Tamandua tetradactyla: one gene and its partner. The protein of the gene in region 1 purifies or fractionates together with the protein of each later gene. This does not show direct contact. Links are inferred from orthologs where the notes say so. Each region holds a gene or a part of one and is shown on either strand. Other genes may lie near its edges.

Evidence for each region.
Region 2: the proteins of TNKS2 (region 1) and RNF146 purify together in Homo sapiens (co-immunoprecipitation; 3 studies listed by BioGRID and IntAct, with this or other methods). This does not show direct contact. The link is inferred for Tamandua tetradactyla from reciprocal best matches to the Homo sapiens genes TNKS2 and RNF146.

Annotation. Positions count from the first base shown.
Region 1 is NC_135339.1:53,497,653-53,505,300, forward strand, and holds the start of TNKS2 (poly [ADP-ribose] polymerase tankyrase-2), read right to left. Parts: upstream 3,003-7,648; 5' UTR 2,988-3,002; coding exon 2,789-2,987; intron 1-2,788. UniProt on the Homo sapiens protein: Poly-ADP-ribosyltransferase involved in various processes such as Wnt signaling pathway, telomere length and vesicle trafficking.
Region 2 is NC_135331.1:188,537,131-188,544,471, reverse strand, and holds the start of RNF146 (E3 ubiquitin-protein ligase RNF146), read right to left. Parts: upstream 3,215-7,341; 5' UTR 3,107-3,214; intron 1,751-3,106; exon of another isoform or gene 1,659-1,750; intron 1-1,658. UniProt on the Homo sapiens protein: E3 ubiquitin-protein ligase that specifically binds poly-ADP-ribosylated (PARsylated) proteins and mediates their ubiquitination and subsequent degradation. May regulate many important biological processes, such as cell survival and DNA damage response.

The DNA of each region.
Region 1 (7,648 bases):
AGATTTTACATTTTTTTCTACTGAATAATATTTCTCCACCCCCTGAAGAATATTTAAAATTCTCAAGCCATGGAATGCTTACTACCACCAACCCCTTCCGAGTTCTTAAATTTTAGGGAATGCTATGTGTTTATTTGCTAACGGACATCAAGATGACTTTCTTTCAAAGTTTCTGTCATCTCTTCTTTATTTTTCAGAAATAGATTCAGAGAAGCAGTTTCCTTCACTGAAATCTGCTGTTTTCTTGGGGATTACGACGTAAAGAACATAAGATGCTTCTGCTTTTAGCAACATTAGAACTGCAGCCTCCCTACCATCAATTTGCCTCTACAAGTTTTGTGATCTATAAAAAAAATTGTTCTTAGCCTGTAAGTAAGGATGGGGTGGGGGTGGACTGAAGAAGAAACAATTTTCAGATTAATTTTTCTCATAACAAATGATTTCTCAAATCATACTTATCTAGAAGAAAAGTGTATAATCTGGTTCAATTACAAAAAACAACCAATGGAAGAAAAATCCCTATTAATTTTTATGTTGATGACCTTTTTCATTACTAGAACTTAATCCTATTAATAATAGAACTGATTATTCTTTTAATCGAACTAAATATTTTAGATGAAACAGGTCAAATTTTTTCTAAACTGTTTTTTTATCATGACTCATCTTCTGTGGTCTGCAAAAATCTCACACTCCTAATGTTTCCTGGGAATCAAAACAAAACAACCAAAAGCATGCCCCCCCACCAATAAAACCTCCAAACTTTGAATGGCTAAAAAATTAAAAAAGCATAATCTTTTTCAAAACATATTTTATACATACAAACACAATAAATTGCTTACACACTGACATGACTGATAATTACAAATGAGATTATAAAATGTATTTTTGGTACAGTAAGAGAAAAATGCAGCTGGATGCACTTACTTAAAAATTAGGAAAACAGGTTCTCTCTCATTAATCCAATTAATTTAGAATGAATTTACAAAACTGTTCTTAAAAAAAGTCTCATACACATGGGCTTAAAAGCAGGACTTTTAATGCTTCTGGTTGAATGTGTAGACCCCTTAATAATTTTTAATTTATCAACCTTATAACCTGTGCTTGATAATTTGCATAAACTGTAGGGGTGGGTTGGTTCTAAAGGTTCTTAAATATTATGTTTTCCATTTCAATCTGAGCAACATGAAATATATGGAAAAGGTGCCTTGAAATACTGGGACAGAGCTGGGGGTGGGTGGGGAGCAAAGTCAATAAGATGCTAATCCCATAACCTTTAACCTCTAAATATTACTATTTTCAGATATGAACTCATTAATGCACCAAATTCTTGAAAGGAAGCAACCAAGATCTTCCTTGGTTATTTTTATCCAACAGATCAAGTGTACACAATCTAGGTAACATTATTCTTTGGATTATGTACCAGCTGGTCCTGACAGTTTGCCAAATCAGTCATTTAAATGTTGATTACACGGTCAAACAGGACAGTTAAATTAGCTGAGTTAAGGCAGTGGTGACCACCAAAATTTCAGGAAAAATGACTAAAGAAGTGAGATTTGATTTTAGTACTTTTCTCCTTTTCCTGTCCATTGCCCATCAGTTATTGCTGGTATAGCGCCAACAGAACAGTCCATCAAACCTTCCCTCTCAAAGAGACTTTACAAAGGGAAGCCAACAAAAGTGCAACTGATCAAGAAAGCACATACCTCCTGATATTATTCACATTTTAAAATGAGACCAGGTTAAAGTAAACAAATTTTTAAGTGGTACAAAGTGTAAAAGCAACGCCTGTAACCCAAAATGGGACTGCTCAAAAACGTATCCTTCTGCTTTTTAAAAATATCATCTTAATCAATCATGTAATACAAGAAATAAAAAAAAAATTAGGATTATCAGAGGTATGAGAACCTACTCCCACTTTCACTCACACTTGGCTCACTTGAGGTTTAGATATAGGCACAATCTTTCTTCAAAGCGAAAAGTATAAATGCTATTCGGAAATAATCTGAGTGTCCTCACACTGGTTCTTTCAAATTCTTCAATTAAATTTAATATGCTTAGATGTAAAGTGAACCTAATAAAAAATACTACAAGAAAGTAATGCAAACGACCCAAATCTGAGAATGGAGTAAGGTTAGTTCCAACCTAAATTCCAGACCCAAGCTAAAGTACCTGCACCATCTTTCCTCTCATTCTACTTTCCTCCCAGCCTAAATTAAATCTCAGTTCCCCAAAACTTGCCTGTTCTCAGTTCTAGTCTCTCCAGAACCTTGCTAATGATTGGCTATTCTGATAAACCAATAATACCAATGTGTCAATGGCCAATAAAGATATTACGCCCTAAATTATATCCTTGATTTTACAACGTCCTTAGGAGTTTAACCCAGAGGATTGATAAATTATACTGGAACTTATCAGAAAAAAACGACAGCTTTTGGAGATAACTTGCCTTTCAAATCACAAGATATACTACTCTTACTCTTTTTTGTGTGTAGGGCCTTTTAGGGCAACAAGACCGGAAGTTGGAACAGGTATTGTTGATACTGTAAAACCAAACAAAGCAAAACAAAACAAAAGAACTTCCAGTGAGTGCGACACGCTCGTCTTCTACCCTCAATTTCCTTAATTCCCACTCGACGAGAGCGAGAGCTCCAGGACAGATGTCTTTAGGAGAAAAGACTGGGAGCAGAAGAGCACTGGTTGTCCGGTTTAATGGCCTGAGAGCCCCGAGCCACGGGCGGAAGCGCAGGTGGGGTCCCGAGCGAAGTGAGAGAACGCTGGCCTCGGTTACCTGCGGCGAAGTGGAGCGGGGTGGACTTCCTGCCCGCCGTGTCACGGCTGTTCACCTTTTCGGGCGTCACCAACCTCTTGACTCGTTCCACGTCCCCGTTGCGGCACGCCTCGAACAACTCGCGAGCAGCCGGCTCTACGGCCTCAGCCGCCACGCCCGAGCAGGCCGCGCCCCCACCGGCACAGCGGCGGCCCGACATGATCCTGGCCGCCGCCGCCACCAGCAGCAGCGCCAGCAACGGCAGCAGGAGCCCCGGCCCCGCGAGCAGGAGGGCGAGGCCCCCGGGAGGAGACGCGCTCAGGGCCCGGGCCTCTCGGTTCCCTGCTGTCACCGACCCCGCCGCAGTCCCATGGCCGCGCCGCCGCGCGCCGCCTGCCAGGCCCCGCGATCCCGGGCTACCCCACGGTGGCCGAGGCAGCGCGAACCCGCCGCCCGAGCCCCGAAGCGACGCGGCGGCGGAAGCTGGCAGGGCCTCTCCAGCCAGCTCCGCTGGGCTCCGGGAGCGCACGTTGACGTCGCTCCCGAGCGTGCGCAGTGGCCGCAGATTGGCCAGGAAGGTTTCAGGGACCAGGGCTTCGCGGAGGGGATTGTGGGAAATGTAAGGCGAGCCGCGGCTGCGGGGGCAAGAGGGTCTTCGTCCTACCGCCATCTTTGCGGTAGATTTTCGCTGAAGAGGAATGGCCCGATTTATTGTCTTTTTTAAATACGTGAACTTTCTGAGTTGATTTTCCTTACTGTGATTACAGTGAAAAAGAGCCCTTGAAAGTTTTGTCGCGACCCAGGAATCTTGTATATTCTTTTGGAAATTTTAGTATGGAAAATTTGCCCCCCCCCCCCCCCTTTTTTGAGTTTCTACAACCCCTTTCTTCTGGAAGGTTTGTTTTCCGTTTTCTTTTCTGCGTCTCTTTCCATCCGCGCAACTGCTTTTTACAAAAAAAAACAGTTTTTTCTTGTAAGCCATTTCTCAGAAAGCAGTTGTTCACTCAATGAGAAGTTTGGATGAGCTGCCCCAAGATAATTTAAAGGAAACTAGGATAACAATGAAAGTTTATTCCAGTTCTGAATTAATACTTGGGAGGGATGGCTCTGATTAATTACTCTTCCCACAGTTATTAGCTCAGGACGGACTAAACAGCCCGTTCCTAGATCAGTATTGTGGTTGACATGACTGAGATTCGGATGTACCTGGTGTAAAAGCACTGGCAAAAAGGCTTTTCTTGAGTGTAATTTTTTTTTCTGTTACTGACAAGCCCAAGAAAAGTAGTTTAATTTAGACGCGTAAGGTAGTGTTACGTGATCATGTATTTTGCCTCAAGAAGCTGAGATTTTGAAAGAGGTATGCTTACACGAAATGATACGTGTTGACCTTTGGCAGGTTGACATTTCCCCTTGTGCTTCTTAACCTGCGTCTCAGGAAATCCAGTTTTTGTATGGGAGTGTGAGTCACTACTGTGCCGTGAGAGAGGAGAACTGCATTTTATTTTTAAGCATTTAAATAAATACGTGACTTATACATGAACAAAACACTATATATAGCATAAATTTATGTTGCCTATTAATAAAATGAATACCCATGAATCCACCTACTATTAGAACACTGTCAATATCTGTGTCTATCATTACATTTCCCCGTTTCCTTTCCTTGCCAAATATATTCCCAATTTTTATCATTTATTAATTTGTGTTTATCATTCCCTTGTCATGTTTCTATACCTAAAGAAATATTGTTCAATTTTGCTTTTCGTGCTTTATAAAATGTAGGTCTTTGTGGTCTTTTTTTGCTTAAGGAAATGTTCATGACTCATTTAGGCATTTTCATTATTTTGTAGTGTTGCATTCTGTGAATATACAAAAAATTTACAATCCTATTGGATATTTGGGCTGTTCCCAGTTTTTTTGTTATTATGAAAAGTGATGTTATGAACATTCTTACACATTCTCCTGGTACACTCGTGCAAGAATTTAGTGAGTGGTTTTGAAACATTTTGACCACTACTTGTGATACAGGAAATACAGTTAATGTCTTCTACCATTGAACACACATATGTGAAACAAAAGATTCATAAAACAAACAATATTCACCTCTCAAATGTTGGAAAAAATACTATTGTGCGCTGGTTTGAAACTATTTAAAGGATTCCATTAAACTAATCAAGATCCACCTATGTATCCCAGAAAAAAGCCATGTCTTATTTCCTGATCCAATCTTAGTGTGGCTGGGGGGCAGGTACGGGGAATCGAACCCAGTCTCCGGAATGGCAGACGAGAGCTCTGCCTGCTGAGCCACTCAGCCTGCCCCAGCTGTTTCTTTTAATCCTGATTCAATACTTGTGTTGGTTTGCAAGCTGCCAGAATGCATTTTACGAGATCTGGAATGGCTTTTATAAAGGGGGATTTAGTAAATTACAAGTTCACAGTTCTAAGCCTGTGGAAATGTCCAGATTAAGGCATCCAGGGAAAGATGCCTTAATTCATGAAAGACTGATGCATCTGCAACACCTCTGTCAGTTGGGAAAGCACAACTGGTCCCTTGCTTTGGGCTCTGTTGCTTTCAGCCTCTGTTCCTGTGGGGGTTCCTCACTTTACTTCTCCAGGGCTGGCTTTCATCTCTTGGCTTCCCTTGGCTCTCCCCAGGTTCTGGCTTGCTTAATATCTCATAATATCTCTGGCTTGCTTAATATCAACATCTACTGGGCTTGAAGCATCTCCAAACATCCATGTCTCTGTTCTCCATGTGTCCGCATCTGTGTTAGCTCTGCTGTGAAGTTTCTGTCAGCTCTGAGGCTTCTGTTATTTCTCTAGGCTCTGCTCCAAAGTCTCTGTTGGTTCTCTCTGTCCTTCCTGTCAGCTTTGTTGTTTCTGACTCTCTCCAAAATGTTTCCTCTTTTAAAGGATTCCATTAAACTAATCAAGACCCACCTGCAATGGGTGGAGTCACATCTCCATCTTAATCAAAAGTTAATACCCACAATTGGGCGTGCCACAACGCCACGAAGATAATCTAATCAAGTCCCAATTTACGGTGCTGAATGTGGATTAAAAGAAACTGCTGTTCCACAAAATTGGCTCAGGATTAAAACATGGCTTTTCTGGAGTACATAATATTTTCGAACTGACACAACACTGTAGGGTGGGGATTTTTTATTAGATTATCTCCATGGAGATGTGTCGTGCCCATTGTGTGTGGCCTTTTGTTTAGATGGAGGTGACTCCACCCATTCAGGATGGGTCTTGATTAGTTCACTCGAATCCTTTAAAAGGGGAAACATTCTGAAGAAACCTCACATTAAGATGCTTGAAGTATAGTTGCTTCATAGCTGACAGAAACATGAATGTTTGGAGATGCTTGGAGTGCTGACAGAGAGAGCAGATTCCTAGACATGGGCAGATCCCAGCTTACTTCACCATGTACCTTCCCGTGAAATGCTAAGTAAGCCAGAACCCAGATTTGTGTCCCATAGGAACTAAGTGAAGGACCACAGACATTTAGAGAGGAAACCACTGGTGTCAGAAGCTGGAAGCAACAAATCTAGAACAAGAATTGACAGATGCCAGCCACATGGTTTCCCAGATCAGCCTTCCTTCAGCTATCTTTCTCTGAATGCCTTTGGACATATTTATGGCCTTAGAACTGTAAACTTATAACTTATTAAATTCCCTTTTAAAAGCTTTTCTATTTCTGGTATATTGCATTCCTACAACTTAACAAACACTAGAATAGAACTACCTAGGAGTGTAATTGCTGAGTCATAGGGAATGTGAATGTTCATTTTACAAAGTAATACCAAATTGCTTTTCAAAGAGATGGTTGTATTGTACATGCAGCTCAGCAGCCCGTAGGAGTTTTTGTTGATCTGCTCTCATTAGCCCAGGGCAATGTGATCTTAATTTTTCCAATAATCTATCAGTAAAATGATATCTCAAAGAGGCCTTAGTCTGTAGTTTTTAAAATAGCAAATTAAGTTGAATATCTTTTCATACGTTTAATGACTATTTGTATTTCTTTTATGGTAAAATGCCTATTCAGGTCATTTGCCAATTTTTCTATTGGCTTATTTGCTTTTTTCTATTGATTGGTAGGAGTTCTTTATATTCTGTACACTAATCCTATGTCAGTTACATGTGTTAAAAACATCTTGTTTGTGTTTCTAGTTTGTTTTTTTAATTTTCTCAGTGAAAAGATGTCTCAATTTTAATATAGTTGAATTTATAAATCTTTTTGTTTCGAGTTTGTGTGTGTGTGTTTAAGAAATTCTCCCTTGCCCCCAAATCATAAAGAGAGTCTTTATTTTATTCTAAAAGTTTAAAGTTTTGCCTTTCACATTTAAGTCTTTTATCCTTCTGAACTTGATTTTGGGGTATTCAATTTCCAGTCTTTTTTCTCCATATGGATAACAAATTGCCCTAGCACCATTTATGAAATACTCCTTCCTTTTAGAAGAGAGCTGCAGTGTCACATTAAGCTGCCATACATTCATGAGTCTGTTTCTGGACTCTACTTCTGTCCAATGATTGATTTATATATCCAATATCATACGATCTTAGTTAATATAACTTTAATAAATTTTGATACCTGGTAGTGCAAATCCCTCACTTTCTTCTTCTTTGCTTTTTTTGAGATTTTGCTCTTCCATATAAATTTTAGAATCAGAGTTTCAAGTTCCTTGAAAACCCCTTTGGGATTTTTATAGATTTGCATTCAATTTATGGAACAATCTGGGGACAATTGCTTTCTTAGGGATATTGAAATCCTCCCTGTACTTGAACATGATACATCTCTTCATTTATTTAGCCCTTCCTTAATGAATCTCAATAAATTTTTACAATTTCCTTTGTAAAGGTCTTGCACATTCTAGTTTT
Region 2 (7,341 bases), on another chromosome or scaffold:
TATGTCCATCCAAAAAATTCACAGTCCTATTATTTGCATATACTGTTATTCTCGCTGAACATATTTAGGATTAATTACAATTTCACTTTTCAAGTCAGTCACAGACTTAAAAATATCTAATTTTCAGGTAACAGTGTTTATTAAATTTAATAGATAAAATAAATGATTACATTTTTAAAACTAATCAGATGGGAAAGATGAGCACATTAACAGTTAAAATATAGAATTTTTTTAGTATTTGAAGGGTTCCTTAATTTCTCCAATTGCTAACAGCTAATTTTACTAGTATAGTTTTTACCCTTTATTTATTCAAAATACACAAAACAGGGAATGTTCTATTTAAAAGTTTTAAACGAGAGATAGGAAAAATACTTCAAACCTTCCAATCTTGGGTATACTAACTCAAAATAAAAACAGTAATAATTGCAAAAAGACCAGAAAAAGAAGTAGAGAAATCAGATGTTATTTAGCAGATGCATCTTAAGTTTCTTGAGGAGTTCCAAATTGATAGACGTAACTAAATACCCTAATGTTTCCATTTTTACCTTTCCCTATTATGTTCTCTTAAAAACTGAAAGCAGAGGCCATACTTGGAAACAGACCTCTCAGTCAAAACTCATTTCAGTTATATGGGCCCCCTTTAGAGAACTATTTTAGCACTTACCACTTCTCAAAAAAATTACTGTATGATAATCCACAACCTTTAACAATCTTCCCTAAATTTCCCTTAAAAAAAAAAACTGCAGCCCTTTAATTTTAATAAAACATTAGCAGTAAATAGGAATAAATAAATATTTTAAAATCATATCAAACACAGCAGTGTTTTTACAGCTGGCACCATTTGGTAAATAAGAAAGGCTAGGCTCTGTCCTATTCGTGCGACCTTGGTCAAGTCTTAACTCCCAAAGCCTAAGTTTCTACACTCTATTAATTCTGTAACACTAATTAACAGACATTTAACAAAAGGTTTGGTTTTAATTAACCCAAAAGGCACTGAGCCATGAACACTAAATACAGTCCATAAACAAGCACGGGTGATTGTAACCCCAGTGTCAGTTAATAAGATGGTTCCATACCCAAAGATTGTTCCTAATCCAAACCATCATTTCACAAATTCAAGTTTCTTAGTCACAAACAAAAACCAAACAGGAAAACGAAAAGGTTCGCCACAGTAAAACATTGTCCCAACTAACGGTACATCAGGAGTTTCATGTAGTGTATGGCCAGTACGTAAATGTTTCTAAAACAGATGAGTGTAGTGTTATGAAACAAAGAAAAGATTTAATTCTATCCTTTATTTCTACTAAGTCAAGAAATCATTTTCTTGATGCTTTAAAAAAAAAAAAGTGTCTTCTGACAATTTAAGTTGGTCGAAACTGAAACAAAAAGATTTAGCAGTTGACATATCCCCCAAAAGAGAAAATGTCATTCCTTTTCTTCCTCTTGTCCAATGACCAGTTATTTGGAGAAACAGTTTCCCTGGCGACCATAATCCTATCAAACTCTTAATAACCATAAAATAACAAAAAAACTTCAAAATTTTCCATTTGCCCACAACTTACACTGGCCCATTTGAGACATAAATTCTAAGTCCAATTCTGATGCCTGACAAAATGCTCCAATTTAAGATATACAATGTCCGAAGAAAGACAACCAACCTCTATTTTTAGTGTGGCAGTCACTCTTCCGGTTCTCTCCAAAATCAGATTTCCTTGACCTATTTTCGTGTGTTCAGAGTATTTGTATTTACTCAATTTTTGCGGTTCCTAAAAACATCAACAATCTTGTGCCACGAGGGTCTTCTTCTTCACTGGTTCTATACGCTACGTTTAAATCTAAATATAGATTGATTTATTAAAAAATAAAAAAACAGCCTTAAGTCTTCTAATTCTGTAATTCTGTACTGCTTTCAATGCCAATGTTATACTTTCACATCCCATTTAAACAGTACCCACACACGGGGGAGTGGGGGGTGCCAAACACTTGAAACATCACTTACAAATATAAAAAAAAAAAAGCATTTCCTAGCATTTCTCAGCTTTCTTCTCCCTTCAGTTCAGTATTCCAACACGACAAAAATATCACTTCAAATACACGTACTTTGAAAACTTGAGTTAGAAGCACTCGCTAAAACGACACTTCGGGAAGAGAACTGGCACCCAATACGAGAACGGCTAACCGGGAGGGGAACCGCAGCGGGCCAGACGTGGGTCAACTCAGTCCCGCGGCCGTGCGGGCAGGGCTGCTCGTCTCCACACTCTCAAAAGCCCTTTGCGGCCAGAAAACCCAACAGGACCAGCACGGAGACCCGTGCCGTCGGCGGGGACCGGGCCGAGGAGGGAGTCCGCACCCCGCAGCCGGGACCCAGCGGCCCGGCGACCCGGCCAGTGTCCCGACGCTTCCACAACCGTCAAACCGAGGAACACGCAGCGCCGGGGGTGACGAGGCCATGGCGGACGGATGGCTGTCGCCCTCGCGGACAAGACCCAGGGATCGAGAAGGAGGAGAGGGAGGAGGAGACAGCCAGACACCCGGAAAACGACCAAATCCATCCGAGGCAGAGGCAGCGCGGCGGGCCTCGCCTGACCCGAGGTCCAAAAGGCATGACTGCATGGGAAACCAGGAGCCGGGTACCCCGAAACCACCGCCGCCCCTCAACCTCGGGCCAGGAGGCCCCGCTGGAGGCCCGACGCCACCGCCGAGGGCGAGAAGGGCCCGCAGACCCCCACGGCCAGGACGCGGGCCCGGCGGGACAGGCCGCGCAGCAATGGCCGCGGCTCCACCTCGCGCACCCCGCCGAGGCCGGTTCCCGGCCGCCGCGGGCCACGGAGAGCCCGCCACAGTATCCAGGCCTGCGACAGCAGCCTGCGCGGGGGCGCGGCGAGCGTGGAGCTGTCCCGCGCCGCCTCCGCGCCGCGCCGGCCAAGGACGTCCGTGTACGCCCCGGCCCGACCCGCCGCCACCCCTCTCGGGCCGCGAACGCAGGGCCGCGGCGGCGCGGCACGGCTGAGGGCACGGCGCGGGCCGGCCGGCTCTCCCCGCACGAGGCACCCGGAGTGGGCTGTTCCCACCCTGCCCCCCACCAGGGCTTCGCCCCGACTCCCACCTCTCCCGCCACGGCCGCGATCACTTCGCAGTCTTTTCTCCTCGGCCTCGGAACCCGCAGCGGCCGGGAACGCGCGCGGACGTCACGTGACCGCCCGGCGCGCCGCGGGAGCGGGGCGGGGCCGCGCTGGGGGTGGGGCCGCGCACGGGCGGAAGCGGCGCCGCGCCGCCAGCGCCCCGTCCCTGCCTTTTCTGGGGACCCGCACTTTTGCTGTCTGCGGACTTCTCACCGCTTTCCATTGCCTTTTACTAGTCTTTGGGTGCCGGAGGTTCGGAAGAGACGTGCTGGCACTGGAGGGAGAGTCAGAGTGGAGGAAATGAGACGGGAGGGCCTGCAGGTCCAGCTGCTCGGAAAGCCGTTCAGGGCCCAGAGGCCTTGGGTTTCGTGGTCGAGAGCCCTCGGGGAAAGCCCTGCGCGTTCTCTTTCCAGTAAAAACCGGGTTTCTCGGACGCTACGGTTTATTCACCCTACGAAGCGCTCAACAGTTTAATCGAGAGGGAAAAAAAGGACCTTCCCTTCTGTTGGGACCCATTATGCGCAATAGAAAAGGGCATAGGCAGCTGGAGGAAGGATTTATCAGCTTAAGAATCTGAAGTTAGAGGAGAGGCAGCGTTTGGGTTGCGCGCTGTGGTTTTAAATATCATCGTTCTGGCAGTAGTCTCCATTTCGTTTTAGCATATGCAGTGCCTTTTTCGGAACTGAATAAATTTTTAAATTTATAGTAAAATGAAGAGGGTGGGAGGGAACGCGTTTTAATCCATAAAAGAGTATATATTTCTACATTCCATGGCAGCCTCCTTACTTGCAGTGATACGACGTTGGGGATGTCATTAGCTCTTTTATTCTGGCTTGGGAGAGCTCGGTGTCCTTGCCAATGTAGAAGTGTGTACGTTTTCTTTTGTTTCTCTGAAGTCCATGTATTTCCGGGTCCTTGCTCATGGCATTACTATGTAACCAGTATCTTAAAGGGTTCATCTATCTTGTTTAATGATGTTTGCTCTCATAAGCAAAACTGTTTTTCTTCTAAACTATAATTTTAGGAATATTGAAGTGTATATATGTCCTTCAACTTGAAGCTTTATTCCGTATCCTTATCCTTTCCTCAGCCATCAGGTTTTACCCCTCTATCTTACACAGCCCATGAACAGATAATAGCAAAACATTTCATATATATTCATAAATTGAAGCTTAAAGAGACAATATTCACCTTTATTTACAATGTACCAACCAGTGTTCTCAGTGCTTTACACATATAAACTCGCTTAATGTCACCATAAGCCACAAGATAGGTGCTACTGTTATTCCAACGTTTCGGATACAGGCACGGAGGAAAACAGTCAAAAGTCGTAGACTGGGGCTTGAATCTAGACAGGGACTAAAAGAGTTCACCTGGTCCAACTTTTCATTATACCAACTGGAGGAACAGATAAAACAGGTTAAATGACTTGCTCATGTATTTTGTGAGAGAAAGAGATGGGATCAGAACACAGGTGTTTCTGGGTCCCTCTGGCTTCTGCCCATCTCATTCATACCGACACTCACAGTCTTTGCCACCTCAGTGAATGGCTCTGTCCTTTCTTATCCAAACACGTCTTTACTTCCTTTCGTTCTCTTATGTTCCACATTCAGTTATAATCTGTTGGCCTTTCCTTCAGAGCACATACATACCCGACCACTTACAGCCTCTCCTACAATGACATCAGCTGTTGTTTGCATTATTGCAAAGCCCAGGAACTGGTCTTCCTGCTCTTTGCTCTCCTTTGAATCTATCTTCAAGAAAGAACCCAAAGTAAAGGTATTTGAAAGACAGTCAGATCATATCACGCCCATGACCTTGCAGAGTGTTCACTTCACTTCTTAGATGGCTGCACAAGCTCCCAACCTCAAAAGTCCTTCCAGTTGCTATTTCCTCTGCTAAGAAAACTCTTGCCCAAAATAGATTGCTCAAATGTCACCTTTACAGCCAGTCCTCCACTGCCACCCTATTTTCTTCTTCTTCTTCTTTTTTTTTTTTTTAGGTGCATGGTTCAGGAATCAAACCCAGGTCTCCCACGTGAAAGGCCAGCATTCTACCACTGAACCACCCGTGCACCCCACTGCCACCCTATTTTAAATCGCAATATTCCCCATTTCCAATATTTCCCATTTTCCATTTCCCCTTCTTACTTTTTCTCTCTAATACCTCTCACCATGTAATGAATAAGTTATTTTACTTATTCATCTTTAGTGTGTGTCTCTCCACTCTGGAATGTAAATCTCAGAGAGCAGAAATTTGTGTTCTATTTTGTATTCCAACAGCTGCGAACAGTGTCTGACACGTTTAGGAGAGGCCCTCTGTAAATACGCATTGAATGAATGCACATGCACATCTGCATGTATGTATGTGTATATATGCACATATACGTATTTATATATTGAATAATATATAAATAAAAAGTGAACTTCTTGGCATTTGTCACCAACCACATATAAAAAGAATAATTAAATCTATCGAACAATATACACCCTATCCAATCAGTCACCTAAATGGAAGATAGTGATTAGTTTCTATTTCTGGATAATCCATGACAGAAGCTCCCAATATTGCTAGAGGTGTGTATTAGTTAGGGTTCTCCAGAGAAACAGAATCAACAGGAAACACTTGCAAATATAAAATTTATAAAAATGTCTCATGTAACTGTGGGAATGCAGAGTTCTCCACAGGGGCAGGCTGTGAAGCTGATGATTCCAATGGAGGGTCTGGATGAACACAGGAGAAGCTCACTGGCTAAAGCAGAAAGAAAGCCTGTCTCCTCTGAATCATCCTTAAAAGGCTTCCAGTGATTAGATTAAGTATCACTCATTGCAGAAGACACTCCCCTTGGCTGATTACAAATGGAATCAGCTGTGGATACAGGTACGTGATCATGATTTAATTCTATGAAATGTCCTCATCACAACAGAAAAGCCAACACTTGTCCAACCAGACAAACAGGTACCACAACTTGGCCAGATTGACACATGAACCTGACCATGACAGTCCACCCCTTGTCAACTTGGCAGCTATATGTATCACCTTAAAGCATACCTAATTTCTAAATAAAAAAAAACAATAAAACACATGTTTTTTCTTTCACCTAACAATATTCAACTGTCCTACATATAACTGGAAATACATTAAATCTCTCCAGAATAAGGTGCAAGTCCTTGGGTAATATTTATTCTTAAACTTGATATCTTACAACATGAACAAAACAGCATTACAGTCCTTGTTTCTGTAACTGATCATGTGATTGTACTTCATATTTATCACTACCTTCTTCAACTACCCATTCCATGTTCCCTTTACCCTCAGCAAGCACTTCAGCTGGCCGTAGTTCTTTGCCTGGTGGGGTGACCCAAACCTTCATTCCTGAAGTTTCAGACCCCTTGGTAGTCCTGCCTGGATTGGGTTGTTGCAGTTTTCCATTGATTTTAATTACAGGGCATGGTAGTACTAAAAGACGCCCTAGGGGATCTCCTATATTCCAAGAAGACTCTTCTTTACCTCCACTATGTAGTTGCAGTCCTATTTCCCCCTGATAGTCAGGGTCAATCACCCCAGTCAATAATGTAATCCCCTTCTTGGCTTGTTGAACCAAGGGCATGAGTAGCCCAAAGTGACTAGGTGACAGTCTTAGATTCCAATTCAATGTAATCATTGTTGTTTCTTCTGGTGGAAACACATCCCATTTTGCAACTAAAACCTATAGACCAACAGAGTTCAGGGTCACAGGGGCAGGAAGCAAAAATTTACCTAGTGGATCATTAAGGATAACAGTGAGTGGTACCACACCCATTTCCACCCCTTGGTTCCTGGACCCATGGATCCTGGCTATGGGAGAAACAGCACCATACAGGGGATGCTGATTCAGAGCATATACAGCTTCCTGGAGATCATTACCCCAGCCCTTCAAGGTATTGCCACCTAGTTGGCACTGTAATTGAGATTTCAAAAGGCCATTCCACCATTCTGTCAATTCAGCTGCTTCTGGATGATGGAGAACATGGTAAGACCAGAGAATTCTATGAACATGTGCCCATTCCCACACTTCATTTGCTGTGAAGTGTGTTCCTTGATCAGAAACAATGCTATGTGGAATACCGTGATGATAGATAAGGCATTCTGTAAGCCCATAGATGGTAGTTTTGACAGAAGCATTGCATGCAGGGAAAGCAAACCCATATCCAGAGTATGTGTCTATTCCAGTTAGAAC